Linked DNA regions of Tamandua tetradactyla. The protein of the gene in region 2 purifies or fractionates together with the protein of the main gene of each other region. This does not show direct contact. Links are inferred from orthologs where the notes say so. Each region holds a gene or a part of one and is shown on either strand. Other genes may lie near its edges.

What was found.
Region 1: the proteins of SIKE1 (region 2) and STRIP2 purify together in Homo sapiens (affinity purification with mass spectrometry; 3 studies listed by BioGRID and IntAct, with this or other methods). This does not show direct contact. The link is inferred for Tamandua tetradactyla from reciprocal best matches to the Homo sapiens genes SIKE1 and STRIP2.
Region 3: the proteins of SIKE1 (region 2) and STRN4 purify together in Homo sapiens (affinity purification with mass spectrometry; 3 studies listed by BioGRID and IntAct, with this or other methods). This does not show direct contact. The link is inferred for Tamandua tetradactyla from reciprocal best matches to the Homo sapiens genes SIKE1 and STRN4.
Region 4: the proteins of SIKE1 (region 2) and STK24 purify together in Homo sapiens (affinity purification with mass spectrometry; 4 studies listed by BioGRID and IntAct, with this or other methods). This does not show direct contact. The link is inferred for Tamandua tetradactyla from reciprocal best matches to the Homo sapiens genes SIKE1 and STK24.

What each region holds. Positions count from the first base shown.
Region 1 is NC_135327.1:170,910,573-170,918,393, reverse strand, and holds the start of STRIP2 (striatin-interacting protein 2), read right to left. Parts: upstream 3,338-7,821; 5' UTR 3,291-3,337; coding exon 3,144-3,290; intron 1-3,143. UniProt on the Homo sapiens protein: Plays a role in the regulation of cell morphology and cytoskeletal organization. Required in the control of cell shape. Calmodulin-binding scaffolding protein which is the center of the striatin-interacting phosphatase and kinase (STRIPAK) complexes.
Region 2 is NC_135337.1:6,543,925-6,552,016, forward strand, and holds the start of SIKE1 (suppressor of IKBKE 1), read left to right. Parts: upstream 1-4,601; 5' UTR 4,602-4,689; coding exon 4,690-4,848; intron 4,849-5,077; coding exon 5,078-5,183; intron 5,184-6,071; coding exon 6,072-6,214; intron 6,215-7,420; coding exon 7,421-7,534; intron 7,535-8,092.
Region 3 is NC_135342.1:14,478,075-14,485,890, forward strand, and holds the start of STRN4 (striatin-4), read left to right. Parts: upstream 1-4,427; 5' UTR 4,428-4,444; coding exon 4,445-4,726; intron 4,727-4,793; exon of another isoform or gene 4,794-4,821; intron 4,822-6,524; exon of another isoform or gene 6,525-7,816. Other genes in the region: ribitol 5-phosphate transferase FKRP, read right to left, coding at 982-1,122, 3,089-3,150, 3,573-3,604. UniProt on the Homo sapiens protein: Calmodulin-binding scaffolding protein which is the center of the striatin-interacting phosphatase and kinase (STRIPAK) complexes.
Region 4 is NC_135330.1:167,460,506-167,468,348, forward strand, and holds the start of STK24 (serine/threonine-protein kinase 24), read right to left. Parts: upstream 3,114-7,843; 5' UTR 2,726-3,113; coding exon 2,684-2,725; intron 1-2,683. UniProt on the Homo sapiens protein: Serine/threonine-protein kinase that acts on both serine and threonine residues and promotes apoptosis in response to stress stimuli and caspase activation.

The DNA.
Region 1 (7,821 bases), on a different chromosome or scaffold from region 2:
AACAGGACTTATTTTATCGAGTTATTGTATGGACTAAATGAGTTGAAACAGGAAAAGCACTTAAAATACCACCTAGCACTTAGTAACACTATTATAGGTGGTGAACTACTATCTTTTTACTCTATTTACAATTACAATCTTATGTTATAAGGACATTTTCTCATACAATTATGATCATCACTTTAATGCTTATAAAAGTTAATGGACATCTATTGGTTACTTAACCAGTTCCCTATTGTTGAATATTTAGACTTAGATTTTTTTTATTATTATATGCATGAAGTTGAACTAGTAAATGTTTCCATATGTAAGATCTTTTCTAATCATAGATTCTTATAAAAAGAATTAATGCATCTAATCCTATGAATATTTGTATGGCTTTTTGTACATGATAAGCTGTTTTTCAAAAACACTGTACCAATTTACACTGCCAAAAAGGCAAATCATGTTTAAATCCACTGTAGCAAAGATTTCCAAAAATTTCCAGTAGAAATTTTATAAAACAGAAAGTTTGATAGTGGGAATGACACTGAGTTATTGATATTTTGTTTGAATAAGTAGGGACTTACAAATCTTTTTTCAGAAAACACTTCAAAAAAGAAAGAACAGTTTAATATGCTAAAATTGGAAAGGACATAATCTCAGAACAGAAGAAAGCTATTAAAAGTACAAACACACTTACAAATGTCCCAACACACACACACACACATACACACACACACATATAAAACTGGACCAAAAGTTTAACAAAATAATCTTTACCCTTAATATTTGTGATGTACTCTGATATTTTTAATTCTGTTTCTTAAAAAAGAAAATGCTGGTCCCAACTCACAGGTTGCCCTCCAGTTTGAAAAACACTGCTTTTAAATGAAATATACTGTATACACCCTTTAAATTAGATATACTGAACTGCATTTTATGAGAAACTCGATTCCCTGCTCCGAATTCTCCTCATTTTGCCACAGACCAGTTAAAATTTTGTCAAGAACATTGGGAATAAAGAGACCAGGGGAATCTGGCTTAAAGAGGCAAGAGATGAACCCCTTTGCTATGTTAAGAATCTTTTCATTAGGCAAGCAATTATTCTCTAGCTTCCTTTTTAGGTTGGGATGTTCGTACATTAAGCTATTGAGAGAGGGGAAGTCAACGATGCCCACATAAACAAGGTGATATTCAAGGATGCTCCCTTGATTTGTTCCAACAGTAATTCTCTTCTAGTCATTCTCTAAGTCCAAGAGAGGAAGGAAAGCTATCTCCCCTGAGGACTGTGCTTCATGAAAGCAAAAGGAGAGAGGGTGGGGAAAGGAGCTAGCCATTTGAGTCTGGAACCTGGTGCTGGGGGGATAGGGAATGTACTGATGGGTAAAAGTGATCTCCTGCTGCAGAGGAAGGTGGAAGCAAGCTAATTTTCCAGCTAGTATTTTGGCAGGCAGTGAGCCCAGATAGAGATGATCACTGCAGTTGTTAGTTTCCAGGAAAGAAAAGTGCAGTTGCAGAGAGTTAGGAGGTAAACTGCGGTGAAGGATGGAAAGGTCTTAGTCTCCGAATGCAGAGACCATTTTGCTGAAGGAAGACTTGAGAGTGGGGAACAGACCTCCTCCTTCAGAAGGGAGTTTTGGACAGGGATTGTTTTAATTCCCTTCTTAGCACATATTACTCCGAAATTATTTTGATTATTTATTTACATGCAAAAATTATCTGACTTTCCCCATTAGAACATTAGCTCCACAAGGGCAAAGTCCTGTTCACTGATGTATACCTAGCACTTAAAACAATGCCTGACAGAAAGGATACAATAGCTAGTTGTTGAATTAATAAATGACTCATCCACCCAAAAAACACATCTGAATAAGAAAAATATCTCTGTGGTGTGAGGAAGGCACAGAGTGCCCTAAGAGGCCAGGTTCTTACTGAGGCAGGGAGACAGATGATGTGGTGGATGGAACATTGACCTAGCAAGGCAGAAGGATTAGGGTTCAACCTAGCTCTGCCTCTGAAAGGTGGTGTGACTTTGGGTCAGTCTCTTCACTTCTTCCACTTGTATCTTTAAAACAATTGGAAAGATTCCTACTCTGCCTTTATCACAATGAAAAGCATCCCTGAAATCACTCTATAAACTGAAAAATACAATTCATATGGCAAGCCATGGACTGAACATGGCTTCAAATCCTCATCTAACGACCCCAAAGCTGGTGCTCTTGGCCACTACGCCAGGTGTACGTATGATCTTTGGCAAGTTACTTCTGTCTCTTTCATGTGTGTAAAATGAGAGGGCTAGACTAGAGACCCTTCCACAGCTGGCATTTTGTGGTTTTATTATTCTGATCCATGCTCAGATCCAATTCTATTCTAGGCTATTTGATGGAAACTGGCAGGCTGGAGGTGTGGGGGGATTGAACAGAATGCACTCCTCTCATCCTCTTGGTTAGGATTTCTTTTTTAGGAGAAAAGGAAGAGACCCAAACATTCATACTCCTAGCTATGTTTGTATATTAGGACAGTTCTATCCAAACATCCACTTCTTTCACTGCTCCTATCAAAGTCCTTTCTAAGGTAGGGTTCCTCAAGGCTGTGGAAGGCACTCCCTAAAGGGCCAAATAACACACAAATGGAAGGGGAAGACCAGAGCACACACCGCAAATCTGGATCGGCTCAGGGACACGCGACAGGTAGCCTTGGGGCGGGAGGGCTGCCCCACCCCGCCGACCCTTCATTTCAGAGGCTTTTCTGAGGTTGAGCTCTGGCCTCCAACCCTCAGGCCAGTATCTTAACCTCCCCGCGCCTGTTTCCTCCTCTGCAGGATGGGGACCCGAACTCCTACTACAAGGGGCTGAAACGATTAAATGAGATAATATTTGAAAAGCATCGGGACCACACCACACCGCCCTACATTTTTGCGCCTCCACGGGAAAGGCCTGAGGGGTAAAAAGCCCCCAGTGCGCGGCGGGAGACCTGCGGTGAAGGGTTGGGGTGCAGCGCTAGGCGTGCAAACTCTAGTGGACTCTGGAGACACCGGCTCCAGGAGCGGCCCGGGACACGCCGTGGTCTCGGGCGGGGGAGGGGACGCTGAGGAACCACCTCAGCCTCGGCTTCCAGCCCGCGGGCGTCTCCCGGCCCCAGCCAAGGTTCTGGCTCCTCACCTCCGACTCCCGCCGCTGGTTTCTGAATGCTTCCCGGCCCTTAGGCGCCGCCGGTTTCCCTTTGCCGCCGCCGTTGCCGTTGCCGTTGCCGTTGCCGTTGCCATTGGCGGGCTGGCTCCCGGCCCCGGCGGCCGCTGGGTCCTCCATGAGGTTAGGATCCCAGTCGGTGTCTCCGCTGCCTCTGCCCTGGGCGACCCAGCAGCCGCGCGCCGGGAGCCCGGCCCCGCCCCCTCCGCAGCTATTGGCTACGGCTGCTCCTCGCAGCCCCGCCCTGCGGCCCGATTGGCCCTTCGGCCTTTCCGAGCAGGACTTGGAGCAGGTAGGGGGTACATATAAGGTTTTTAAAAATTTTATCTTATTTTTTAAGTCGTGCCGCGTTGCTGGTAGCCAAAGACTCCTGGGTTGGCTCACGGTACCCCCTCGCGAGTTCTGGGTCTTAACCTTAGTTATCTCTGCTTCTCTCTAGGTGTCCTTCAACCCTCATTCTGCCTCAAGCAGGTACATTTTGAGGGGAGCCGTAGTCTTCGCCTCTTGCTCCACTGCTGTCTCTGCTTCCCCATTTTCACAGACTTCTGCCCTCTCCACACCTCCTCCACACTTACCAAATCCCCTTTCAGTCGCAGTGGAGGGAGGGCACCAGGGGTGGCGAGGGACTCCCCAGAGAACAAGGGACTCGGACTTCGCCCTCTGGAGCTGAGATTTCTGAAGCGAACGCATCCCGTCCGGAGTGAAGGGTTGGCTGGCAGATAAGGGGTTGGAGGGTGGGGTGACGTTTTCAGGTCACCGAAATTGTTGGATGCCCTGGTCAGCTTTCTCTGTTCTTGTAGGGCGCCTTCTTCATGGTGTGAACTAGGCAGTAAATATTGGAGAGCAAGCTGTCACCCCCACTCTGCTCCCCAGTCCTTTCCTTTCTAAGATCCTTCCTAAAGTTTCGGTGTTACCTGAGGCAAATGAGGCTATGTGGTCTACCCTCCCAGGAATTTATGTAAAAACCAGCTTATAGTAAATAACTAGGGCAGTCTGTGTTGTTGGTAATAGAAGTCCCCAAACAAGCAACATGAGGATAGCTTTAGGAAGGGATTTGGGTGTGGTGTGGTGGTGGTGGTTGAGCTGACACTGGTCTGACATTGCAGTAATCACTTTCCTGAGACCAGGTTATCATACTCTCTGATGGGTTGATTTCACTAATCCACTGTATTTATGAGGAAACCAGGACTCAATAACCCTCACTGTTTCCAAGCTGTTGTGTTCTATCTCGTCTCAGTGTCTGCATATGCTGTTCTTTCTGTCTAAAGGAAACTTCCTGTTCTCTTGACTGATAAATTCTTCCTTAAAGATTCTATTTAGTTCTCACCACCTCCTCCTCCAGGAAGCCTTCCTCTTGACCCTCCTGGAAGCATTCGTGTGAAACTATGATCCCAAACCCTTACATTTTCCACAATATCCCCTAAACAAGTGGCCCAAAGGAATTACCCCCTATTCCCACATCTTAGGGACAACTTTGTCCCCTTCTTAAATGTGTCTCTGCCCGACTCTTCCCTTGGTTTAGTCAGTAAATGACAGATCAAGGCAGAGTCGGTGGGGGGAGGGGGGATGGAGGTTGTGTTGCACTCCTTGGATCTATCTGGGTTCCCTTCTCTCCCTGCTCTCAAATGTCTCCTTACTGTACCCACACAGTTTTCATTTCTTCTCCCACTCTGCCCTCCACCTGGATATAAGCTCCTTGAGAGTCTTGCTCATTTTTGTATGCCTCATTTTTACAGGTTTATCAGAGGGTTTTTCAACTTTCGTACTATTGACATTTTGGGCTAGATTATACTTTGCTGTTAGGGACTGTTCTGTGCCTTGTAGAATGTTTCGGAGAATACTGGCCTCTATTCACTAGATACCAGTAGCACCGTTCCCCCCACCACCGAGTTGTGACAATCAAAAATGTCTCCAGACCTTGCCACATGTCCCCTGGAGGGGGTTGGGGAAGGGACAAAATCTTCCTGGGTTAAGATCCACTCTTTTAACAGAACTGAACTAATATGAATTTTTAAGAAAGTCCCTGGCTCAAGACCTAAGCTATTTGAGTTTGGAATTTTTTAGTGGGTATAATTTGTTAAACTCTTAAGAATTCACGCTCTTCTTTAAAATTTATAACCCATGCCTAGCTCATTACTGCTTAAGTGTCATAAACCTGTCACAGCACAGCCAATGGGGGCTTCTTAATACAAAGAATTAATCATTCTACACTTCCGTCTTCCCAGTACCTTTCCTTCTAGCAGCCAGAGCTCTAGGATTGACAGGCCCAGAACTTCATATTCTCTTTTGTGAGCCTAGCCAACCAGCAGGATTCCCAGCAGAGGTAATAGATGGGAGTCACCACTTTTGAGGCTTTGTTCCTTTTCCTGCCTATCTTGGACAAAGGGAGGAGACTGATCATCAATTGAGAATAAGATTGAAGACAGCCCTCAAGTCCCCTTTGGCCTCTATTTAAAGCTAATTGTTGAACCTAGAGCTCCATCTGGCTTCACTCCTGGAAAAGGGAATTGAAAAATTGGTTCTATGGAAATTGTAAAGAATCGATATGAAGAAAGACCTTAATCCATTACCGTTTCTACACCCCAGTGGAATGGGAGACAGATCAGACATCTACCTGTTCATTATAGGCCCAGACTTTCAGAGTTGTCATAAGGAGGAAGACATCGAGAAACAACCCATGGAAGAAGTAATAAGAAACCAGATATTAAATGAAAACTTTGAAACCATGGAATTGGCACACACTCAATTTTTTTTAGCTTATTTTTCAACAAAGGAGTGACGATCATCAATACCATTGATCACAGAGTCATTCATAAACATACTTGGGAACTACTCAGAGGCTAGTCTACAAGTTCTTTCATCTTAGAGATGGATCCAGGACTGTTATTTTGAAAGCAGATGGGCCTACCCTACCAATTTCCCTTGTCCCCAAACTCAGGTATTCTAAGCCTGACAGAGGGTTGGAGATAAAAATAGTTACAGCACCAGTGCTCCATATAAGCACTTTAACCCATGGAGGTCATATACTTGATTAAAGCGACAATACCTGGCACTGAGAAAGCTTAAAAACAGGGTGTAAGAAGTCTTAAAGAACCTAGTTTGTGAGTATATATGGCAGCTAGGATTAATAGAAAAAGCATAAAACATTCTCCTCCCCCCATGAACGGCGCATGTGGGTATAATGAGGCAATGGATGCTGTAGGCCCCAGACTGAGGCAGGGAATTGATGTTTATGCAGTATATGATGTGTGCCAGGCTCTGTAAACAGCATTTTTATAAATCAGATAGTTAAATCCTTGCCCTAGCAGATAAGCACTATCCATTTTGAAGGCAAGAAAACTGAGACTCCAAATGGTTACATAATTTGGCCATGTCATACAACTTCAAATCCAAGTTAGTCTAATTCAAAGCCCAAGCTCTTTTGAGAAACTAGCGCAGCAAGCCTGAAACAAGGACCCAAAGCACCCAAATTTCTATGTCTCTAATTTAAAGAGATAAACTTTTACCTGATTCACTTTTTTCTTCCTATTGGTTGGATGTAATCAGATCCTAGGTGTCAGGGTCCTTTGGCCTCAAGCGGTGGGGATACTGACTTCTTGTGTTCTTCAGCCAAGGGCAACACACATTGGGCTTGGGGGACTTAAAGCCAGGCTTTTGCATCCCTGCCTTAAGCCTACACTTCTCAACTTCACAGCACATGATAAGGGTTCTAAGAAAGCAGGTTTTCTACACACACACCAGGTAAGGGGGATAAGGTATATTAGTGGAGTGACTCCATCCCATGGAATAAGGGTCTCAAGACTAAGTACATTCAAACATACTTATTTGTAACTGCCTCACCTTTTCACATCCTCACCCCACAACAGTCTCTCTAGTGTGTTGCCCAGAGGCAACTCCCATCTTTGTGGAATTCCTAGATCACAGAAGTAAGGAATACTCTCAAGACAAGAATGCATTTTAGGAATATTTTATTTGTCTTTGAGATTACATAGTCATTATTGCTGATCTAATACAATCACTCAGACATACAGATTTCCAAGAGCCTCTCAGAAATGACATACCTCAGAGGTCTTATTTCCTTTCAATAAGATGACAGTAAGAATTAGATGATTATTTTTTGAGATATACATATATATGTATGTATAGTTCAGAACTTGACCACATATAATTTGCTGGTGTTGCCTATTTTCTTTCCGTAATTTTCCTGTTAAAAAAGCTTAATGCGACAATGCATTTTAATTTCTTTTTTTTAAACTGTGACAAAGCTAATTTTCAGAAAACCACAGGAGCAGCAATTTCAGATCTGTTCAGAGAAAAGCCAAGCAGCAGAAAAGCTTTGCAGGAGTATATGGCCATGGGAAGCCGTGCTCATATGGAACGGTAGGATGGGGAGGTGGGAGGGCAAAGAAAAGTTGTATCAGATACAATTTTTTTTAATGAGAAAAAGAAAACAATATTTCAATTAATAAGATTTAAAAAAAAAGATCTTGGAAAGTAGCACAAATTCATTGTAGGGAAAATGGAATGTATCCCCACAGGCCAGGGCCACACACATAGAGATAATTACCTCTCTTTCCCATATTTCCAGACCTAGGATGCATCTAAAGTGAGAACTTGTAGAGAAGATGACATATTTGTTCTGATTCCAAGG
Region 2 (8,092 bases):
AAATCAATCTGTACACTATACCACACTGGGATTCATAATCTACTTAGCTCCATGTTTCTGCTGACAACTCCATAATTAAATATCAAATGTTACATTTACAAGTAATATCTCTAATTTATGTTTCCTAATCAATTTGGTGGTATCTCTTTCCATGCTTTTTACAGCCCCAGGAAAGGAGGAAGAGAATATCTGGGAAGTATCCAGGACTGAAAGGAAGTGGAAAGAAAGTGTTTGTCCTTTTTGTCTGTGTGGATTGGGAGAAAAGGCAAATGAAAAATCTTCTCACAATTGAAAGATTGTGAGAAGACACAAGCGCATATAGGTCTGACCCCCTTCTCTGACTTAAAGTCCTAGATTGAAGTCCAAAGTAGAATTGTGTTTTGTCACGCTTCCCATTTGGGGCTGTAGGAAGTACAGATGTATTATTTTTTATTTTTTTCTAGTAAAATTTGTATTATTGTATTATATATTATTTATCATTTCTTTTTTCTTGTAAAATTTGAACTCCTCAGTGCTGCTTTCTCTTATAATGCTGAATAATGAAATTCCAGATTTCTAGACTTCTAAATGCAGGTCTTCTTTATTAAAAAATACTTGTTTTGGTGGTGTGAAGCTGTATGTACCCCAGAAAAACATGTGCTTTGATCTAATCTATTCCTATGGAGGCAAACGCATTGTAAGTAGGACCTTTTGATGTGATTACTTCAGTTAAGGTGTAACCCAGCCCAATCAGGATAGGTCATGACCCTATTACTAGAGTCCTTTATATGCAGAATGAAATTCAGACAGAAATAGAAATCTACAGGGCAGTAGAAGAACTGAAGTTCAGTGGAACTCGGAAGAACTGTTAAATAATTAGACCATACTGAGTTTATCAGACTCAACCAAAAGCTGGGTTTTTCCCCATAGCTCCTAGTAGGATGGGAATGGGGGCTTGCCAGAAAATACAGATTACTTATAGAAAACAAATAAGCTAGAATGTCTTTGCATATCTTGTTTAGTAAAAGTAAATCTGCACATGTCTACTTACATATCAAAATTTGGTAGCATACTCATGAAAAATTTGGGGCACACCAGATAAGTACCAACAGATTGAATGAAGAAATGTTTAAAAAATAAACAAATAACCAATTCATTAAAAGACAGGCACAGCTACTGCACTTATTCTACCATTGTTAATCGGAGTTTGGGGTTGGACTGAACTGCTCCTTCCACTCTTTCCAAGAAGTAGCTTCAAGGTCCTGCAACTAGCCCAGTAGGAGGTAATTTTGGTTTCATAAGTAGGACCACCCATTGTGCTACAGATGGAATACCCAAAATGCCTGCTATTGGATTCTCTCCTATTAATTTGAATGAGACTAAATTATTTGTTTAAGAAATCCATCATAGGTTTTGTTTGTTTTTAACCTCTATGCATGTAGGAGAAGAGAGTAGAACCTCTTTTGGTTTCACTTTTTAAATGGCCAAAGGGCAAGAAAGAGATAATAGAGAGAAATGGAACCAAAAAATAGGGGCCATGTGGGATATCAGATCATAGTAGAAATAAGCCAGAAAAATCAAAGATCTTGGGTAATTTGTGTGGTTTCCACAAACAATATTAAAAGTATCTGGGCTTGTAAACCTCAATCAATAAACAAGCAGGGGTGAACCTACTATAGTTAATATAAAGAGTTTGAAGTTTGCAACAGAAGTTGCAATTACTATTCTTCAAATTGATGATCTTATTAAATTATACCTAGAAAGTAAAGATGATAAACATAGAAGTTAAGAAAATGTTGTTCATTCAGGAGCCCTTGATGACTGATGTGATTTCTTTTATTCATAACAATGTTAGGTGTAATTGTCTTATATACACATTAAAATACAACAAGCAGTCAAAAAAATAAAGTACCCAAGCTTAACTTATTGGTTTATTGGTGGGTGGGCTGTGGAAGACTGAAAATGGCTCAAAGGTTAAAACTTTCAACTTCATGCTGCCACATCTTGAAGCTTATTCATATTTGTACCTATTCTTTTCCCCTCCAATTATGGAGAATGAAATGTCCCTCATTCTGTTCAAATCCAGCTGCTTCACCTGTATTCCTGATCTGGAATCCCATTGTTTTATTCAATATTCAGCAAGTGTTTAACTACCCTGTCCCATCTCCTCCTGGTCCTTGCTCCTTCCATTGTCTCCCTACTCTCTTGTATCACTTTCCCTAATGGCTCCTTCCCCTACAAAGCCTAAAAACATGCTCAAGACTTTCTCGTAAAAACAAAAACAGGAATAAAAATGCACCCTATTGCTGCATTCTTTTTTACCCACTAATTGAATCATGGTTCAGACTACCAATCACAAGGGTCCAGTTTGGTGAGGGAAGGAAAATTAGACCATTAGAAGAGGCTGATAGGTAGGATGATGGTTAATTTCATGTGTCAACTTGGCTAAGTTATGGTGTCCAGTTGTTTGGTCAAGTAAACACTGGCCTGATTGTTACTTTAAGGGATTTTGAAGATGGATTTAGATTATTGGTTAGTTGATTGCGTCAATAGCTGATTACATCCACAATCAACAAAGGAGATTCTCTTCAGTAATGAGATAAGTCTCTTCATCCAATAAGTTGGAGGCCTTAAAGTAAGAACTGAGGATTTCAGAAGTCAGAAAGAAGAATTTCTATCTCTGCTTCAGCTACCCCGTTTCTCCTGGGGAATTCAACTTCATAGTCACCAAGTTTCCAACTTGCAGCCTGCCCTTCAGAATTCAGACTTCTCAATTTCCATGGTCACATGAGCAGTTCCTCAATTTTCTTAATATTTTATATCTATATATCCTGTCAGGTGTATTTCTCTGTAGAACTCTGATTAATGCAGGTAGAGTGAATATGGATAGATTCAGAAACTGAAGAGCTGGATGAAGTAAATGAAATGGTAGTGGGAGATAAGGTTGCAAGAACTGGACAGACAGAAAAGCTATAGTCAAAGAGTTAATCATTAAACCCTAAAATTTCTACACAGGACAATTCTTGGAAAATGATCCAGAATGTGGCCACATTAAGCCAAAATAAACATCTCTACAAATCAGAAGATCAAGAAAAGACACAGCATTAGATGAGTTGTCCACATGGACATGGATGTCACTCACATGAGAGCAAAATATGGCATAATTAAAAAGACCATAAGCCAACTCCTAAAATCTTCTAGGAATAAAGAAGAATACCCAAGATAGAAGGTCAGTAATTAACAACAGAGAGGAGCGACAGAAGATTCTTCATCTGTGGGATATAAACATCAAATAAAGAGATTTTACACAACATGAGAGAATAAGTGCTTAGAAGTATCATTCAGGAAGTAAAACTACCAGTCTAGTTGTCAACCCTAAAGTGGATAGGACATAGAATAATTATCCTCCACTGTAAGAAGTAGCAGAGGTTGTGGTGTCGGTTAGGGAGAGCTATCAGAGTAGATGACCTGAGGTTGGGAAAAGACCAGATGGAAGACCATCCTTAGACCTGGGTGAGAAAAGATGATGGCCTGAACCACCCAGGAGTAATGAGAATGCAAAGAAGCAAATATGTCCTAAAGATACAAAGGAGATACACTGCCTTTGAAACAGATTAAATATGAAGAGTAAGTAAGTGGGAAGAATGAAGGATAACGTCCAGGATTCTGTTTTTGGGGAAATGATGCATGAATGTGCTCTACTGAAATGATGGCCAAGCAAATTTGGAGGCAAAGATAATCAGATCACTTCTAGTACATGCTGAATTTGTGATGCCTGTAGGTTGTCCCTGTGGAATAATCCAGTTCATGAAAGAGATTTGTGCTACAGAGATGGATTTGAGAACCATTTGAAGTCAAAGCCAAACGCATGAAAAGAGATCAGTTAGGGAACGTCTTTTTGTTTTAATGAATGAACGAAATCTCTGCATTTTGTTGTTTTAATGAATGAATGAAATCTCTGCAGAGTGCATTAATTGTCTTCCTGTTGGTCAGTGACCCTGATTTGTTATTTCTGTTGAGCTTGTTCCCCATGTTCCCTTCAACAAACAATGTGGCAGCTGCTGTGAACACAAAGACCAAAAGCCCAGTTCCTTTCCCCCTGCTTCTCTGACCTCTAGCACTCTGACACTCCTTCATCAGACTCCTTCATCATCCTGTCACTGCCTTAAAATATTCATTAGAGTATAAATTCTTTCTCTCATTAGAAAATAATCTCCCTAAGGGCAGAGACCTTGTGTCTTATTCCCTGCTGCATTTCCAGGACAAAACAGTGTCTGGACCAGAAAAGGCTCTCCAAAAATAGTTATTAATGAATGAAAAAGAACAAAGACATACAAGCTTGACAAGGAAAACTCTTATTAACCAATGTAACAATACAAAAGTCATTGTTGTTTTGGCTAAATTTACTTTCAACTTATTAACTGAATTGAAACAGAATATACATATATATGGAGAAAAACCGGAGCCGCTCAGCCACAATTCAATCAGGCCACCGAGCTGAGAGAACAGGAAATCAAGGGCGTGGCTCCGCTCAGGGCGGAGTTTCCGAGAAGCCGCAGGCTGAAACCGGTCCGGGCGCGGACAACGCCAGTGCGCAGACGCCTGCGAAACGTGCCCGGAAGTGACGCCTCAAGGCAGAAAGTGCTTCCGGCAACAACTGAGCGAATCGCGTTGGTGAGCAGGGCCTGATACGCGGGTCGTGCAGCCGCTATGAGCTGCACGATCGAGAAGATCCTGACAGATGCCAAAACGCTGCTGGAGAGGCTGCGGGAGCACGATGCGGCCGCCGAATCGCTGGTGGATCAGTCGGCGGCGCTGCACCGGCGGGTGGCAGCTATGCGGGAGGCTGGGACAGCGCTTCCGGACCAGGTCAGGCAGAGGATGGGAGTCATGTCCTCGGGTTCTGGACACTTGAGGGTGGAGGGCTAGGAAAAGTGGGAACCCGGCGTGGAATTTGTTCCCCTTCTCAGGAGGGTGGGAGAAAGACTTCTCTGGAGTCGGGGCTGAGAATACTCTCCCGGTCCTCTGACGCCTGCCTCTTCCTTCAGTCGCATCTGCCCCTGTTTTCGGCGCACTTAGTCTGTCTGTCTCTGTCCAGTGTCAAGAGGATGCATCCGATATGAAGGACGTGTCCAAATACAAACCACACGTTCTGCTGTCCCAAGAGAACACACAGATTAGAGACTTGCAACAGGAAAACAGAGGTTAGTCGGACCTTTTTGTGTAGTTATGACTTTTTCATATCCAGCAACGGTTCAAAAGTTTTTGCAGAACTGTCTTAACTGTTCACAAAAGTGCATATCCTATATGTATTTCCAGGTCGATACCTTTAATAGAAGAGTTACCCCGTGTGCAGGCCCAGTAACAATAAAGTTTGTTAGATTAAATTTTTCGAGGTCATCTGACTGATTTTGTATGTACACACAGCTCAGCAAAGAGATGCCTAATAGAATTGAAATATTGCATGATTTTTTTAGACACCCCGGACGGAGGCTTGCCTGACGAAAGAGTTACCATCAAGGACTTAAAATTTAAGATTTAAATATCAATTGAATATACATTAATATTAAAATTGAAATTTTTTATCTTGTGCAAAGTGGAAGAAAAAATTTTATCTTCACTTATGTATTTTTGGACTTAATGAGTACATTATTAACGATAGTAATATTAATAGTGTGTCTATCAGTTTACAGAGTGCTTTAACCTATATCATATTGTGTTCTTATGTCTTCATTTTGAGGTTGGCAAGCCAGGTGTTTATTATTAGAAGATTGCACATAATAAATAGGCTCAGATCTTAAATGGTTTGCCTGAGATTATTAAACTAATTAGTCATGGAACTGAACTCAAACCTATGTCTTTTGATTCCACATCCTGTATTTCTTCTATTAAATGATGCTGTCTGCCTAGGAAGTTATTTTTCACATAGACCTTAGCTGTTCAGTTTTGTGGACTTAATCATTGATTTACAGCTTTGGATTCACATTATTTTACAGATTGTCATAAAATTATGGAAAATTCCACCTGTTAACAGATTGGCTTTGGGAACTATCACTGGGTCTTCACTGCCAAATTATTTTACTTTTTGATAGAGCTATGGGTTTCCTTGGAGGAACACCAAGATGCCTTGGAACTCATCATGAGCAAGTACCGGAAACAGATGTTACAGTTAATGGTTGCTAAGAAAGCAGTGGATGCTGAACCAGTCCTCAAAGCTCACCAGTCCCACTCTGCAGTAAGAAACTTTGATGAGTAAATTCTAAATGAACTGAACTGAAATCTAGAAATTGTTTTAAATTTGGGGCTTGTTTTAGAAGAAAATGTAGTCTTGTTTTCCACTAATGTTCATCACATCCACTGTTTATTTTGCTATGGCCTTGAAAAGATGAATGAAAAGAAGGGGATAAAGGGGCAAGGCAACTTAGATCCTTTATTTGAGTGGGGTGAAGGTTCCCCTACCCCAAGATCTCCTATCAAGGTGTTAATGAATGCTTAGCTCTTCCACCACAGTGCCATTTAGCATTGAGGGTGCTCAGTAAACACTTGGTTGAATATCTCTCCAAACTGTAAGCTCCTTGATTGTAAGGAATATGAATTATGAATTCATCTTTTACCTCTAGCATAATACCTTGCACACAACAGGCAGTCATAAACCTTTTTTAAACTGAACTACATAGCATCATACAAGGTTGTTACAAGGCAGTAGTGTTGTCTTAAAAAAATATATGTAACATAGTTTCTAGACTTAGAATACTTATGATTTAATTAGAGAGACTCAGTAATTGTTCTTATATTTGTAGAGTGTTTTATAATTATCATAGTATATTCACATATACTAGATTATTTAATCTTGGCTTAATAGATTGGAGCTCCACTGTTTGTTACAGTGCAATTTAGTAAAAGTTAAGTTTCATCTTAGATTCCACTGAAAACATTTTACTGACTTTTAAAAGTCTCAGGAAATGGGAATAGCCTATTTAAATATATGAATGTCTTCCATATGGAAAAGGAAAATAAATTGTCTCTGATCTGGAGGAGAAAACTAGGACCAATTCATTGAGACTTGAATGAGACAGAGTTTAGCTGATATAGAAAAGCTATCTAAGAAAGATGTCCAAAGATGGAAAATGGCACCCTGGAATGTGGTAAGTTTCCCATCAATAAGTGTTCAAATTTAGATTAAACAGCTTTTTCTAACATCCAAAGGGTGGTGAGACTAGAATTGATCTTTTGAAAACAAAAATTGTTTTTGAACATCGTAAGGCTACTTCATTATGGCTTTATCTCCAAGGACTCAGATTATAGTGAAATAGCAATATAACTCCTATAGCATAGATTAAATGAACTTTTAAAAATCATAATGCACCCTTGCCCATCATGATCTTCATATCTATAGAAAAGGTTATTTTTTCACCTATTTTTTTTCTTAATATCTTCACAGGAAATTGAGAGTCAGATTGACAGAATCTGTGAAATGGGAGAAGTGATGAGGAAAGCTGTTCAGGTAGATGATGACCAGTTTTGTAAGATTCAGGAAAAACTAGCCCAATTAGAGGTAAGATTGTTGCTCCTTTAGCTTCACAATATTTCAGGGAGTTTTCATGGAGTCTGGAAGGTATGTCAGCACTATCATGTCACTGCAATGTATTGCTGTTTTTTGTGTACTCAGGATTTAAAATTAAAACTTCTCTTAAGAAAGGAAATCAGTCAGCAGCATATAATGAAAATACCAATAACAATTAGCCAGAAGTTGAGGTGTCCTATTGGGAGGGTAGAGAGAGGAGTTGGAGACAGGTACATGTGAGCTGAAATCCCTCATCTGCCATAATAAGTCAGTAGATAATATCTAAAATTGATGATCAAGAACTAGCAGGACAGACGTATTATTTAGAATTATGGAAGTAAATACCAAAAGAAATAGAAAAAAGTTTTAAAAGTGGTTGCCTTTGGGGAACAAAGCCAAGGGACTGCTGTTAATTATATAAGCCTTATAGTTCTTAATATTTTAAAAGCTGTTTATCAGAGTTGAGAGGTTATTTTTACACATCATATAGATATCCCCTTTTTAGTTTATCATGTATTAGAAGGGCTAGAGGGAAGTGCCTGAAACTAT
Region 3 (7,816 bases), on a different chromosome or scaffold from region 2:
CTGTCCCTGTCCCATCACCTTCCCTATGGCGACCTGAGGGATCTTCCTGAAGCACAAACCTGACCTGTCTCCCCCCTGCTCAGATCCTGCCCTGTGCCCTGGGAGAAAGTTTCAGCTTCTTACATCCCACCCACCCCTTCAGCCCCCTCTCCTGCCACGCCCCCTTCATGCTCTAAGCCTCAGCCACCTTGGACTTTTCTTTCCCCCAAACATGTCTTGTTTCTCGACCTTCGCAGATTCTGTTCCCTCGTATATAAAAGTCTTTTCTCATATGCCCCCTTCTTCCCATCCTCCTCCTGAAAAATTACTGAGGCTTCAAACCTTGGCTCAGAGGTCGCCCCTTGCTTCCCCATCCCAGCCCTGCCCACCCTCGGTTGTCGCTGTCTGGGGATGAATCTGTCTCCCCACTGGACTGTGAACCCCAGGAGGGTAGGGCTGGGAGTGTTTCAGCCACCACTGGGTCCCCAGCATGTGAGATTGCACTTGGTGGGAAAATGCTGGCCAGAGTCCGGGTTCCTTGTCTAAGGCCAAGGCAGCTCTATCCTAGCACCCACTCAGGTCCCAGGAGCCAAACTCTGACTTCATTGCCGTGTGCCGTGTGCCGGATCTGGTCTTCCTGCCTCCTCTCTCTCTCTTACCAGAAATGCCCTCCCACCTCTCTGCCCTTCCCAGTCCTGCTTGCCCTTCCTGGACCCAACTCAGATGGCGCTTGAAAACCCAAGTCACACTTGAAGAGCGATTCTCTAATTTTTATAACCTTGGCACTGCCTTCTGGATCTTAGATTGGTCCCACCTTCTTTCCTTCATCTCTTCAGCATGTATTTATTGAATTCCTACAACATGCCAGACACTGATCTAGGCACCGGGGAGACAGCAGTGGACGCACAAGGACAGCAGACCACATCCCAGCCCTCGTGGGAGTCACACTGTTGGGGAAGGAATCTTTGGAACCAGAGAACCTTCCGGGTCTTAGAATCTTACCATTTAGGTAGTTAGAAGCACAGAATGTCAGACCCTTAGTTTTAGAATCTTCATGTCCTTGAAGGTCACAGCAAGAGACCATCCTCCTGCTTCTGCCATGGTCCCCTACAGTCTGTTCACTGCTCTGTGCCCAGAGGGATCCTGTTAAAATCCGAGTGAGACCCTGTCCCTCCTTTGCTTAAACCTGTGGCTTAAGCCTCACCTGGAGGACAAACCAAGTCCTCCTCATGGCCCACAAGGCCCCGTCTGCTCTGCCCAGTCCCTCTCTGCTTTGCCCCCCACCACGCCTCACCAAACATCATTCTGCAGACATGATCAGATCACTCCTGTGGCAGTGCTGTCCCCTCCCAGGTATCCACATGGCTCCTCCCTCCTCCCAGGTATCCACATGGCTCCCACCTTCCCCCCAGGTATCCATGTGGCCCCCCATGTCCATGTGGCTCCTCCCTCCCCCCAGGTATCCACGTGGCTCCTCCCTCCCCCCAGGTATCCATGTGGCTCCTCCCTTCTCCTCAGGTATCCACGTGGCTCCCCCCTCCCAGGTATCCAACTGGCTCCTCCCTTCTCCTAGGTATCCATGTGGCTCCTCCCTCCCCCCAGGTATCCGCGTGGCTCCTCCCTGCCCCCAGGTATCCACGTGGCTCCTCCCTGCCCCCAGGTATCCACGTGGCTCCTCTCACAGCCTTCAGGTCTCTGCCAAAATGTCACCTGTCCAGGGAGCCTTTCATTTTAGCAGCCCTATTTAAACATTTATTAACCTCTTTCCACAGACTCCCTGTCCCCATCCCTCCTTTAATTTTTCCCCTCTAGTACTTCTCCCATAGACTTTACTTATCTATCTTGTTTACTTGCTGAGTCCCCACTGAAGGTGGAGATCTGTTTTCTCTGTTTTATTTCCTGGGCTCTCCCTAGCACAGAGCTCAGTAACTGGCATACAGTAGGTGCTCAATAAAATGTGGGTGGAATGAATGAAGTTCTTGAATTGTTAAGATGGGGAGACTGTGGCTCAAAGATGGGAAAGGATGCAGGGACCAGAACCCAGGTCTCTGCTGCCCAGGCTCTGTCTAGCTGACTCGGGCAGGAGTCACTGAGCAGGACCAAACCAGGTCCTCAGACTCTAGCTGGTTTGACACCCAGATAAAGAGGTGCTATCTACCAGTGAGGGGGTGAGGGGACCAGAGAGGACAAAGAAAGTCTTCTAGTTCCCTGACGAGGCTCGTCTTGGCCTCCCTAACTATAAGGGCTAAAACCCCTTCAATGGGGCCAGGCAGACATAATGACAATTTTGAAGGTCCAAATGTTTTCCATTTTCCTGAATCAGGGTGATGATAATACCAACAATTCTAGCAACTCACAATGTGCCAGACCCTCTTCTAAGCATTTTACACCTATTGACCCATTTAATCCTCACATTATGATTACATTGGAAGATGAGGAAACCAAGGCACAGAGGAGTGAAGTCACTTGCCTAAGGTCACACAGCTAGGAAGGAGAGGAGCCAGGATTTGACCCAAGGATGCTGGCTCCAGAAACTGTGATTTACACTAATAAACTCCACTGTCTTTCTTGGGTCCATGCAGGTAGCCCTGCCCTCAGTCTACCGTCAGTGTCCCTTTCCCAGCCCTAAGATGAGAGGTGGTTTCAAAACTGAATGTGGCACATTAATGAATTCAACTCATTAACTCTACAAACAGATATCTTTTCAGTGCCCTCTGTGCCAGGCACTGTGTTCTGGGGAAATGGAGTGAAGGAGGGAAGGAGACAGAAAAAAATCACACAATTACATATGGGGGCAGGAAACCTGCAAGAGGCTGTGATAGAGAAAAACTAGGGGGTTGCTTTAGAAAAGGCAGTCAAGGAAGGAAAGGCGAGTTAAGCTGAGACATCTGTCTCTCCACCCCCCACAGAGCAACATGAGTGGATCTAGACTTGCTTTGGGACTGGGTTCACCAGGCCTGAGCTCTGCACTGACCTGAGCCTCAGTTGTTGCTTCTGTAGAATGGGAGTGTGAGGGGTAGAGAAAGAAAGAGGCGCATGGGAAAGCCTTTGGGGACGAGGAAAGGACAGTTTCCATGTAAAGTGCTGGTGACACTGAGGGACTTCTTACCTACTAGGCTGCTGGCTGGGGGGACTCCAGGGGGGCAGTTACTGCCCGATTCAGCTGCACTGCTGTGGGAAGAACCAGAAAATCCCAAATCAGCCAATCTGCAGAACAGTGCACAGCTTCATTTTTACCTACAAGAGGTGACTAGAGCGTCAGGAAATCCTTTCTCTGGAAACCCCATAAGCTCAGGCATAACCTGGCGGGTCTCGGGAAGGGGATAGAGTGGGATGGGTAGGATGTCAGTAACCATAACAACCTGTAATGTGCCTCCACTGCTCCCCACCGCCCCCCATAATGTGTTCAGAAAGGTGGAACTGAAAGGTATGGAAGCTGTTACCATGCCGATGCCTTCCCTAGACACATTCCACCTAGAGAGACAATCCTAAATGTCCCCTACCTTGGTGGGCCTGGTTCCCAGGATCACCGGAAGGGGCTGCCCTTCCCCCATTACCAGAGTAACCAAGACTTGGCCTTGCTTGTTTCTCACCTCCCAGGAGATGGTCCAGGCCCTGTATCCATAGTAACTGTCCTTCAGAGCGTCTTCTCTAAATAAAAACACCTGGCTGGGTTTGGCCACTGGGCCTCCCACGATGGGAAGTGGGGGGAGATGGTTACCATGGTAATGCCAACAGAGTGCACTATGCCGGGGGAGGGGAGCCTGGGGCTGGGGAAAAGAGATGCTTCTCAGTGATCAGTCTATTTGAGGCTGGGGTCCTTTTTACCTGAGTGCTAGGTGAGGAGGGTTGCCATAGTAATCGATGTGGTAGGAGTAGAAGAATCCACCAGGGACTTAGGTTACCTTAGCAACCTCCTCCAGGTGCAGGGCCCGGAGAGGTGTGGGGCTCTATAACCACAAAGGTGAAGGAGGGGCTCTAGGCTGGTAAGGGTTACTATGGCAACCGACCTGGGCCAGGAATCAGAGGATGGGGTCACTGCTGAAACCACCCCGGTAGTCGCCCTTTCTCTCCAAGAGTGAAAGTGATTTTCAAGGGGCGTGGTATTTGGGTCTGGACAGGGTAACAATCTTTCCTTCGGGCGAAGTAGGAAGAGGGGGGCAGCAAGCGGACCCTCCCAAAGTCTTCCCGCTCCGAGGGGCGAGCCGCACACCGGCCTTGGTCTCATTTGCCCTCTGCGGGGCGCGCGCCCCTTCTTTGCCCCGCCCCTTCCCTCCGCCCCCTCCCTGCGCGCGCCTAGGGGTCCACCCGGGTGGGCGAGGCTCGCGCCCGGCCTCTTCTCGCTCCCGGCCCCCCCGCCCCACGCCGGGCGCGCGCGCGGGAGGCGGGGGGGGGGGGGGGCGGTTGGCGCGGCCGCGCAGGCGCGCGAGGCACAGCGGGCGCGCGGGCCGGCCTCGGGGCCTCCATGATGGAGGAGCGAGCGGCCGCCGCGGTCGCCGCCGCCGCCTCCTCCTGCCGTCCCCTCGGCTCCGGTGCGGGTCCCGGCCCGACTGGAACGGCCCCGGCCGCTGCCCCTGCCCCCGGACCGGGCCCGGCAGGTAAGGGAGGCGGCGGCGGCAGCAGCCCTGGACCCACCGCGGGACCCGAGCCCCTGAGCCTGCCCGGGATCCTGCACTTTATCCAGCACGAGTGGGCACGCTTCGAAGCCGAGAAAGCCCGCTGGGAGGCCGAGCGCGCCGAGTTGCAGGTGAGTGCCGCCCCGGGACCCCCGACCCCCGCCCGGCCCGGCCCGGCCCGGCCCGGCCCGGCCTCACCCGCCGCCGCCGCCGCCGCCATCTTGGAGCAATGGCCGCCGGGACAGCCGGGGGGGCGGGAGGGGGCCGCGACCGGCTCGGAGACGGAGTGGGGGGCCGTCCGAGGAGGGTCCTGAGAGGGCCCGGCGGCGGGCTTGGGGGGGCCCGGGGCGTGAGAGCGGCCGGGCCGTACAGAGGAAGGGGGCGGGAGGACTCCAGAACCAGCGGCGTGTAGCAGTGAGCGGTGCACCGGCGGACGGGTCCTGAGGGGAGGGGACCCGGGGCGGGTGGGGAACCTAAGCGAACTCAGGAAAGGATCACGAGGGGAGTTGGAGGGGTCGGAGAAAAACCCGAGGGGTCTTGCATGGCAGTGAGCAGAAGACTGCAACGGACTCCCCCCACCCCCACTCCCGGACCAGCCGAGGGTCTGAGATGGGGCTTGATGGGCCCCGGGTGGGTGGGAGGGGACGTCGGAGCGGCTGAGCGAGTCCCAGCGGGGAACCGGGAGAAGAAGTCCTCGAGCCTGGGGATGGGGTGTGTTTCGGAGCGTTCGGACCGGCGAAACTGGAAGATCGCTGTGGCAGGACTTCTGAGGGATCCCAGGGTGAAGGTGTGTACCTCCTCCTACGGAGGGGAAATTTTGGGGATCCCTGGCATGTATGGCCACAGAGTGTGGGAAAGAGTCCTTGGGATGGAAGTGTGGCCAGGACAGAGGACGCACCCTAAAGAGCCTGTGGGGAAGTGCTTGAGAGCAGAGACTCCAGTTTGGGGGTGCGTGCGTGTGTGTGTGTGTGTGTGTGTGTGTGTGTGTGTGTGTGTGTGTGTTAGGGGGATGGCTGTGAGTTGGGAGGTGTGTGAAGGGTGTCAGGTAGAGGACCCTGAGCTGGAGTCGGGAGGTGGGAGTAGGAGGGGGAGGGGGGGAGGGGTATGCCTAACCGGAGAGAAGGGAATCTGGGATGGTGACAATGAGGAGGAATTTGGAAAGGCAGTAGAGGAGGAAGCATCTTAGAAGGATCCTGGGGGGAGATGCATTTGCGGATGTTTCTGGGAAAGGAACCCATCCATGGTTTGTGGAGTAGCTTGAGAGAAGGTTGTGCCCTAGAGTGATGTAGACAGGAGTCAGAACTTGAGCTGTGTTGCTATGACCTTGGCAAGTGTAGGATCCATTTGCAGAGACTCTCTGGAGGAGTCTAGGGATCAGAAATGAGAGAATTTGAAGGGATTCAGGGATGGGGCATGAGGAGTCTGAGGGTTCCTGGGCTCGAATATTACTGGCAGAAGTTGTCAGTACCAGCTTCTGGTAACCCCTCCTGATTTGATTTTTTCTATCTAGCTGATGTGGGGACCCAAATAAATAACTGAGTAGAATATTGTCTACAGGATATAGAAAGAAAGCCTCCTTTCCCAATTCAGGGTTATGAGATTGCATCCCACAATTCTCCCACCTACACCGGGGATTTTGGTTGTGTGAAAACTGAGGCTTGGGGCTGGAATAGGAGAGGAATAAAGCATTTCTCACTTTTGTGTCCCACGCTCTATTTCCAAAGCTCTTTCTTAGTTTACATCTCATCAGATCATCTCAACACCCCATGAGGTATCTATAACAGCACTTGCTGTTTACTGAACACTTGTTTTATGCCAGGCTGTGTGATAAACACTTTATGGACATGTTAGCGTTTAAATGTAACATTCTGAGAAAAGTGATTTTTGTCCCCCCCCCCTTTTTTTTTTTTAAAATAATCGGAAGAGAAAACCAGTGCTTTCAAAGGGTAAATTATGTATCTAGGATCACAGCCAGAAAGTGGTTTCAAACTCTTGCTCTATACCTCTCTGTCACTCAGTACGATGCGAAAACTGGCCCAGGGAAGCACAGCGACTTCCCCAGGGTTACCTAAGCAGTCACAGCAGAGCCTGGACTGAATCCCAGTCTCTTGGGCTCCATGCTAGAGCACCCCACAGCACCCACCACACCACTTTCTCATCTCGGAGACTAATGGGCAAATAGATGTGTATTTTATTCTCTCACTCAGAGACCCTTCATGGAGTTTGAGAGGAACTTGTGGGTAGCATTCAATTAGACTTTCTGACATCTAGGCTCTAGCATCACTTACTTTGTACTTAGATTTTGTTCTGTTACATAGTAGTAAGTATTCAAATATCTCAGATGTGTTGTGTGTGTGTGTGTGTGTATGTGTATGTGTATGTGTAAAGGGAGAGTCCCCTTTTCATTCTTCATCCCTTCCCTATTCCCTCCGCCTTTCTACCCTGTTATTGCTATGAAGGCAGTTCAGAGGATTTTTGTGTTTAATATATGAAATGAAACTGCATATATCATTTTGTGACTTTTTTCCACATACTTGTTTGTTTTGGTGTTCTTTTCCATATCAGATCAGAGAACTCTTCTTTATTTTTGATTACTACCTCCCATTCATTGATTATCACTGCAATAGTTTACTTGGTCCTTGTTGATGGACTTGTAGGTTGTTTCCAATTTTTCACCATCAGAAACGACTGCAGTGAATATCCTTATACTCCTGGGTGAGTGTAAAGAAGAGATGGAGATAGGGGTGTTTATATACTGCTGGTTGTTTCCCAAGTTGCCCTCCACCAGTTTATGCTCCCACCAGCAGTTCCTCTTTTTTACACACCTCTAGTAAAGCATTGATCACTTACCAAAGGTGTAACTTCTGTGAGAGCCTTTAAGGCCCAGATGGTGTCATGTGTTTCTGACTTACTGTGGATAGCTTCTTGGCATCTGTGAAAAAGGCTGTTCCTAACCCAGGGCCTCCTGTGCACTCAGTACTCGTGCTCAGTAAATGTGGGTTGAATGGCAGAAGAGGCAGTGCTCTGTGAGGGCCTGCCATGAGGCCCCCAAAGTTGGGAGCAGGGAGGTGTTGTAGAAGCAGGCTGGTAATAAGCAAGAATTTGCAAGGGAGTTGGAGTTGGGGGTTCCCACAGATAGGTGATGAGGTTTCTGTCCTTCAGGAACTTCCAGGCCAACTGGGAAGGCTGGTTTACACAGGGTGCTACAGAGAACTGTCCAA
Region 4 (7,843 bases), on a different chromosome or scaffold from region 2:
GGGAAGGCTCCCTGAGCTGTAGCAGCTCCTAATTCAAAATTGCAAACAAACGCGCCTGTTCTTTATCTTTTGGGGGATAAGTGTGAATAGAGGAAATTTTCTATCCCAAATGGCACACTCAAAAACAGTTATACTAAGATTTATAGAGGTATTTAAGTACAGAAATGACTGTGACATAAAGCCATTTTCTAAAACTGTAACTGCTGAAAACCTGGTCAGCTTTCTTGCTAAGAAAAATTTATAAGCTCTTTCACTGAGAAAGCAAAGTAAAAAAGTTCCCTTGTAATACCACCTAGGAAATACACTTTATTTTGGAGGCAAGGTGATTAAAGGAAATCTACTGTCTTTTCCCAAGATTTTCAAATTTTGGCCCACTCCCTTAAAAAAAAAAAAAAAGAGGGCAAAACAGACAAACAAACCACTGAGACCAGATACCAAAGAGTGACCATCTGATACAGACTTCTTAGTGCAGGTCACTGGAGCTTTAAATACCTTTTCACACCGACTCACTTTCCACAAAGGTGAATTCTAAGTGAGGCATTTGTGCTAGATTACAAACTGATTAACACAATATAAAAGTCAGTCTAGAGGAAATATTCATAAAATGTATTTTTTAAAGCATTACAGGAGGTCCTTCTTGTTTTACTGGTAAGAAACTTTTTTCTCACCAACTTCATTCTGTCTCCAAATAAAAACCAAGCAGAGCTTTATGTTCAAAATCCCATCTGATAACATTAGGAATGCTTTCAATGCCATATCCTACTCCACCCCACCCTCAATGAGTATTTATATACATTTATATCATCCTTACCCCATTCCCAGAGGAAAAAAAGGTCCTTCTTAGTCAAGGCCAAACCAGTTTCCAGCAGCTCCCCTTGCCTGAGTCCTGCTTCAAAAATCCCTGAATCTCATGGTAGTAGTTATATGACTAAATATATATATACATATATATTTGCGAAAACTTATTGAACAATACACTTATAATGGGTGACTTTTATTGCATGTAAATTCTACTTAAATAAAACTGCTAAAATTAAAAAAAAAATCCCATCTGATTTTTACAAAGCAAAAATAAGCACAGCATTACGTTTTAAATACAATAAAAGAACTTTAAATGAGATTCAAGGACAGACTTTCTTCAAGCATCTTCCTAGTCACAGGCTTAAAACAAAACATTAACTGTTACTCCTTTTAAAAAAAAAAAAAAGTCGGTCTAAAATTACAGCCGCCACTAAAGTAGTAACTTTGAGTTCCTATTTTTCTAGAATTGAAACCTCAACGATGAAACCCAGTCTTTTTTGTTTTGTTTTGTTTAATGTTTTAAAAAAAAAGTCTCTTTGGGGAGGGGGGGAAGATGCCTGGCTCATAATAGAAGAGGTCTGTCTACACTGGGCTTTTCAACCCGCAAGGAGAAGAGAAGAGAAAATTACTCCACTGATATCTACATGATAATAATCCACTTGGATACTTCTGGTTATTCTTAAAGCTCTTATGTTCACTTGCTTGAGAGAGCAAAACTTTAGACATATCCTAACTGATTTTAATCCTAATAGTTTTGCTACCACCATTTGTGCATTTACAAAAATTACAAGTTAGCGAAGGAGAGTGGTTTTCTTTTTTCCAAAAGGCTAACAGTGAAAAACTTTAATGAATTAGTACAGATTTGAAACTCAATCCCCCCAATAAAAGTCAGTGGTAGGCCATGATGCCACAAAGTACCCACGGAGACACTTCTTGGGAAACAACTACTCTAAGCCCAGTAAAGCCTTAAAGGAAAAGTCCGGTATCCCGGCATCAGGTAGGAAAAGCCTGGATTGGGTCGCCCGAGTGCACGCTGTACCGTTTCTTCTTCCTGGAGGTTTACCAGCTCGCACTCTTCCCTCAGAACAAAACGCTCGGAACAAATCTACTAGAGGTGGAACTAGCAGTTACACCTTCCTCGACACCCGCCCTCGCTCCTTCCACCCGGGCTGGGCCGCCGCGGGCCAGGACCAGTCCGCGCGCGCTCTCGGCTCGCCTCCCAGTTCTTAAGTTTACCTCCCGCCCTCCAGAGAAGGCAGAAGACCCAGAAGAGAGGGGGAGGCGGGCGGGCGGGGGTCGGGAGCCTTGAGGGGCCCTTCCGCCCCAGGCCCGCATACAGGGCCCAGGGACTAAGCTGGGGCCTCCCAGGGCATTTCTTGGCATCGGCTCTCCCTGGGGATGCGGCCGACGCCTGCCCGGAGCTCAGGAAGGTGATGGGGGGAGAGGGAAACCGGGAAGGCGACCCAAGGCCGGTTCCGCCACATTCTTCCCTAACAACCGCGACTCCGGCCGGCGAAGGCCGCCTCCACCGTGGACCCCCGGCCAGACCCAGGCCGCGGTCCCTACGGCCCTTCCCCCCACGCCAAGAGGCAGGCTGCGGCGAGGGGCAAGGGCGCCCGGGATGGGAGGGGAGGACCCCGCCTGGCGCCCAGTCCCAGCCGCCCGAGCGGGCCGGGGCGCGTGTGCGCTCCGAGGGCTCTTTCCCCAGCCCCGGGCCGCGCGCGCGGAGCAGCGGGGAACACAGCGAGGGAGGCTCCGGCGCGCGACCCCGGAAGGGTGAGCGTGGGGGGGGGGGGGGGGGCTGTGTTTACACCGCCAAGTTGCCCGCTTCCGCCCGAGCCCCCGCATCCCGCCCCTCCCGCTGCCCGGGGCTCGTACCTACCTGCATACCGGGCAGGCCCGACTGCACTGGGGAGTGAGCCATGGCGGTCAGGACGGTCACTTCCTGGGACGGGACGGCAGGGCCGAAGCGGTCGGTGCGGGCGACCAGGCCCGCTGCCCGCACGCAGACCTCGAGCGACGGAGGCTACCGGGGAAGCCCGAGTCCAGCTTCGTCGGGGCCGGCCGGATCCCGAGCCCACCCTCTGCCCCGGCAGATCCCGGTCCGAGCGGCGGGGCTCAGCGGCGGGCGGCGGGCAGCGTCTCCATGCACGGTGCCGGGGAGGGGCTGCGCGGAGGCGCGTGGGGCGCGGAGCGTCGCCGCGAGTTGCAGCTGCTGCTTGGCTGGAGCCGGGGCGGCCTCGGCCCGCTTGCGCTGGCGGCCTGGGAGCGGGAGTCCGGGAGCACAACCCGCCGAGCCCGCCAGCCCCGAGTGCGCCCCGCCCGGCTGCAGCTGCGCGGCCCGCCCCGGCCCGGCCCCCGCGCCCGCCCCCGAGGCCCGGCCTGGGACCCCGCCCCGCGTTTCCGGGAGGGGGAGGAGGCTCGGCGGCCGCCCGGGCGCCTTAGTCCGCAGCCGCGAGAGTCGCCGCCTACCGGGGTCGGGTGCTGCCCGGGCCCAGCCGATTGGCTGGAGGTGGGCCGGCGGCCCGAACCTTTCCGAGGGCTCTTCCCCCGCCACTACCCCTTCCTAGTCGGCAGGGAGGGGAAGAGGAAGGGAAGGCGGGTGCTGGGAGCCGAGGGAGCCTCACTTGGGGCGGGCGCTGGGCGTGGGGAGGAGGCGACGGAGTTCGGAACCGGGGATTGGCCACGTGCCCACCGCCACCGGCCGGAGACCCGATCCCGCGCAAAGGAGAGCCTGTGCCGCGAGGGAGTGGTTTGCAACAACTCTTACTCCACCATCTTCGTCCGGCCCTCGAAGCCCTCCTCCTCTTCATCTGGCCCCGGGGAAATGGGTCTCCGCCGACCTCCCCGAGGGCAGGGTTTGGGTCAGGGGAAACTTAGATTGGGAGAGTGACCCGAGGGGCCTCAGCCTGTGACCTATTAAAAAATTCGAGGGCGGAGCTTCTTCGGTGTCTGGGTGAAACTTCAACAACCCAAGGAGGAAACCGAGAAGGGAGAGGCCAAGAGAGCCGGTAATTCCTGGTGATTTCACTACTGAAAACAGCTCGTTTTGGGATTCTAGGCGCTGTGAATTTAGCGAAGAAGTGAGGAGGTTGAACCCCACATTCCCTGGGCTCTGGACCAAGGCGGGAGCGTCTGCCTACGAGAAGGGAAAAATAGGATGGGGAGGGGCAAGGAGGAAGAGAAGACAATCCCTGGAAGGAAACCGTGTCTAGACATTTACACACACGCGCACACACACACACACACACACACACACACACACACACACACCGCTAGCTCCTGTCTTTCGACTGCCTGTGAAAGTCTCAGGCCTACTGAGCGCCAGTTCTGCCTCCACCTTTTAGCCGCCTCCACCCCAATTACATTGGAAAAATAAGGATGGAATGAGTCAGTGCTGCCTCCAAAAAGCATTTCATTTGCAATGCTTAGAGTGGCAGCCACTGAAAGGATCTGCGCGTCATTCAGAATTACTGCACCGCAGGTCTCAGGGACCCTGCACTTCCCTGACAGCCGTGAGTGCCCCCGTTTTGAGACTTCACTGTGCGAGGTTGGGCATGCTAATGAGCTCCCAAGAGTTCACAGGCTGTTGGAATAGACCCTAAATACGCAAGTCCTCTCCTGTGGTAAGGAGTGTTGAGTCTCTGAGGTGTCACTGTACTCCAAGGACTTCAGTTTTCTCGCGTTCTCTGGATCAGACAGGGCGTGGGACGCTAAAACTTCATCCCCGCCTACCTTTTGGAAATATACATACTTTTCTTCCGGATTCTTTGATACACGTTCAGATACCTTCACCGTGGTCACTAGTATGCTTCGTTGTACCTCCAGCCCTGCTTCCTTAAGTACTCTGAAGACAATGTGGGAAATACAAGGTTAAGCAAAGCTAGAACCCTAATACCCAGGAGACTACAATCTTGTGTAAATTTACTATACTGGAAAAACAGGTATAGAAAGAGATGAATGGCAAAATGGGTAAGAACGTGAATCTTAAATTTGTTCATACTCTTCAATCTAGGAATCTTACCAACAGGAACATCTCCTAAGGAGATAACTAAGAAGTGCGCACGAATGTATATTAAAAACTCAGTTCAGAGTACCATCAGGAGTTAGAAATAGGGTAAGATAATGCGTAATTGGAGCTGAAGGGATACAGACTGTGCAACAGGACCGGATACCAAAGCTCAAAAATGGACAGCACAATACTACCTAATTGTAATGTAATTATGTTAAAACACTGAATGAAGCTGCATCTGAGCTATAGTTTTTATATATATATATATTTTTTGTATTTTGTATTTTTATTTTTTTCTCTATATTATCATTTTATTTTTTTCTGTTGTCTTGCTATTTCTTTTTCTAAATCGATGCAAATGTACTAAGAAATGATGATCATACATCTATGTGATGATATTAAGAATTACTGATTGCATATGTAGAATGGAATGATTTCTAAATGTTGTGTTAGTTAATTTTTTTTTATTAATAAAAAAAAAAAATACTCAGTTCAGGGTGGGCCGCAGTGGCTCAGCAGGCAGAGTTCTCGCTGCCTTGCCAGAGACCCAGGTTCGATTCCCGGTGCCTGCCTGTGCAAAAAAAGAATCAATGATATTTATAATAGCAAGAAAAGTAGGACTAGCTTGAAAGTCTAACAGATTGTTAAATGATAGTATTTCATACAGTGGGATATTATATATTCATTAAAAATGTTTGACAATATTTAGTAATATGGAAAATATTTTCATTATATATAAAGAAAATACACAAAACAATATGTATAGTCTAATCTCAGGCTACTTCGTGTATGTGTGTGTGTGTTTGTAACTAGAAAACATTTGGAAAGTATAACATCAAGATTTAACAGTTATCACAGAACTTATGGAAGTGAGGGATAAAGTAGAAAAGATGGAAAAAACAATGGATACCTACAATGATAGATTTAAAGAGACAGAAGATAGAATTAGTGATTTGGAGAATGGAACATCTGAATTCCAAAAAGAAACAGAAACTATCGGGAAAAGAATGGAAAAATTTGAACAGGGTATCAGGGAACTCAAGGACAATATGAGCCGCACAAATATACGTGTTGTGGGTGTCCCAGAAGGAGAAGAGAAGGGAAAAGGAGGAGAAAAACTAATGGAAGAAATTATCACTGAAAATTTCCCAACTCTTATGAAAGACCTAAAATTACAGATCCAAGAAGTGCAGCGCACCCCAAAGAGATTAGACCCAAATAGGCGTTCTCCAAGACACTTACTAGTTAGAATGTCAGAGGTCAAAGAGAAAGAGAGGATCTTGAAAGCAGCAAGAGAAAAACAATCCATCACATACAAGGGAAACCCAATAAGACTATGTGTAGATTTCTCAGCAGAAACCATGGAAGCTAGAAGACAGTGGGATGGTATATTTAAATTACTAAAAGAGAAAAACTGTCAACAAAGACTCCTATATCCAGCAAAATTGCCCTTCAAAAATGAGGGAGAAATTAAAACATTCTCAGACAAAAAGTCACTGAGAGAATTTGTGACCAAGAGACCAGCTCTGCAAGAAATACTAAAGGGAGCACTAGAGTCAGATACGAAAAGACAGAAGAGAGAGGTATGGAGTAAAGTGTAGAAAGAAGGAAAATCAGATATGATATATATATAATACAAAAGGCAAAATGTTAGAGGAAAATATTATCCAAACAGTAATAACACTAAATGTTAATGGACTGAATTCCCCAATCAAAAGACATAGATTGGCAGAATGGATTGAAAAACAGGATCCTTCTATATGCTGTCTACAGGAAACACATCTTAGACCCAAAGATAAACATAGGTTGAAAGTGAAAGGTTGGGAAAAGATATTTCATGCAAATAACAACCAGAAAAGAGCAGGAGTGGCTATACTAATATCCAACAAATTAGACTTCAAATGTAAAACAGTTAAAAGAGACAAAGAAGGACACTATATACTAATAAAAGGAACAATTAAACAAGAAGACATAACAATCATAAATATTTATGCACCGAACCAGAATGCCCCAAAATACGTGAGGAATACACTGCAAACACTGAAAAGGGAAATAGACTCTTATACCATAATAGTTGGAGACTTCAATTCACCACTCTCATCAATGAACAGAACATCTAGACAGAGGATCAATAAAGAAATAGAGAATCTGAATATTACTATAAATGAGCTAGCCTTAACAGACATTTATAGGACATTACATCCCACAACAGCAGGATACACCTTTTTCTCAAGTGCTCATGGATCATTCTCAAGGATAGACCATATGCTGGGTCACAAAGCAAGTCTTAACAAATTTAAAAAGATTGAAATCATACACAACACTTTCTCGGATCATAAAGGAATGAAGTTGGAAATCAATAATAGGCGGAGTGCCAGAAAATTCACAAATACGTGGAGGCTCAACAACACACTCCTAAACAACGACTGGGTCAAAGAAGAAATTGCTAGAGAAATTAGCAAATACCTTGAGGCGAATGAAAATGAAAACACAACATATCAAAACTTATGGGACGCAGCAAAGGCAGTGCTAAGAGGGAAATTTATTGCCCTAAATGCCTATATCAGAAAAGAAGAAAAGGCAAAAATGCAGGAATTAACTGTCCACTTGGAAGAACTGGAGAAAGAACAGCAAACTAACCCCAAAGCAAGCAAAAGGAAAGAAATAACAAAGATTAGAGCAGAAATAAATGAAATTGAAAACAATAGAGAAAATCAATAAGACCAGAAGTTGGTTCTATGAGAAAATCAATAAGATTGATGGGCCCTTAGCAAGATTGACAAAAAGATTTAACAGTTATTCCTGGAATTAAAGGTGATCTTTTTCTCTTTTCTTGTCTTTACTTCCTACAACGAACATTTATATTAAAAGTTTTGAAGTGAAATTGCAATATGATAGCATATGCCAAATGCTGTTGAATAAAAAGTTTTTTTATTCTTAATATTTTCTTATACATTTAGTTTCTTAAACATCTGTCTTCACCTGTAAGTTTCATAACCTCTTAAGAAAAACTTCAGAAAATATTTTAGA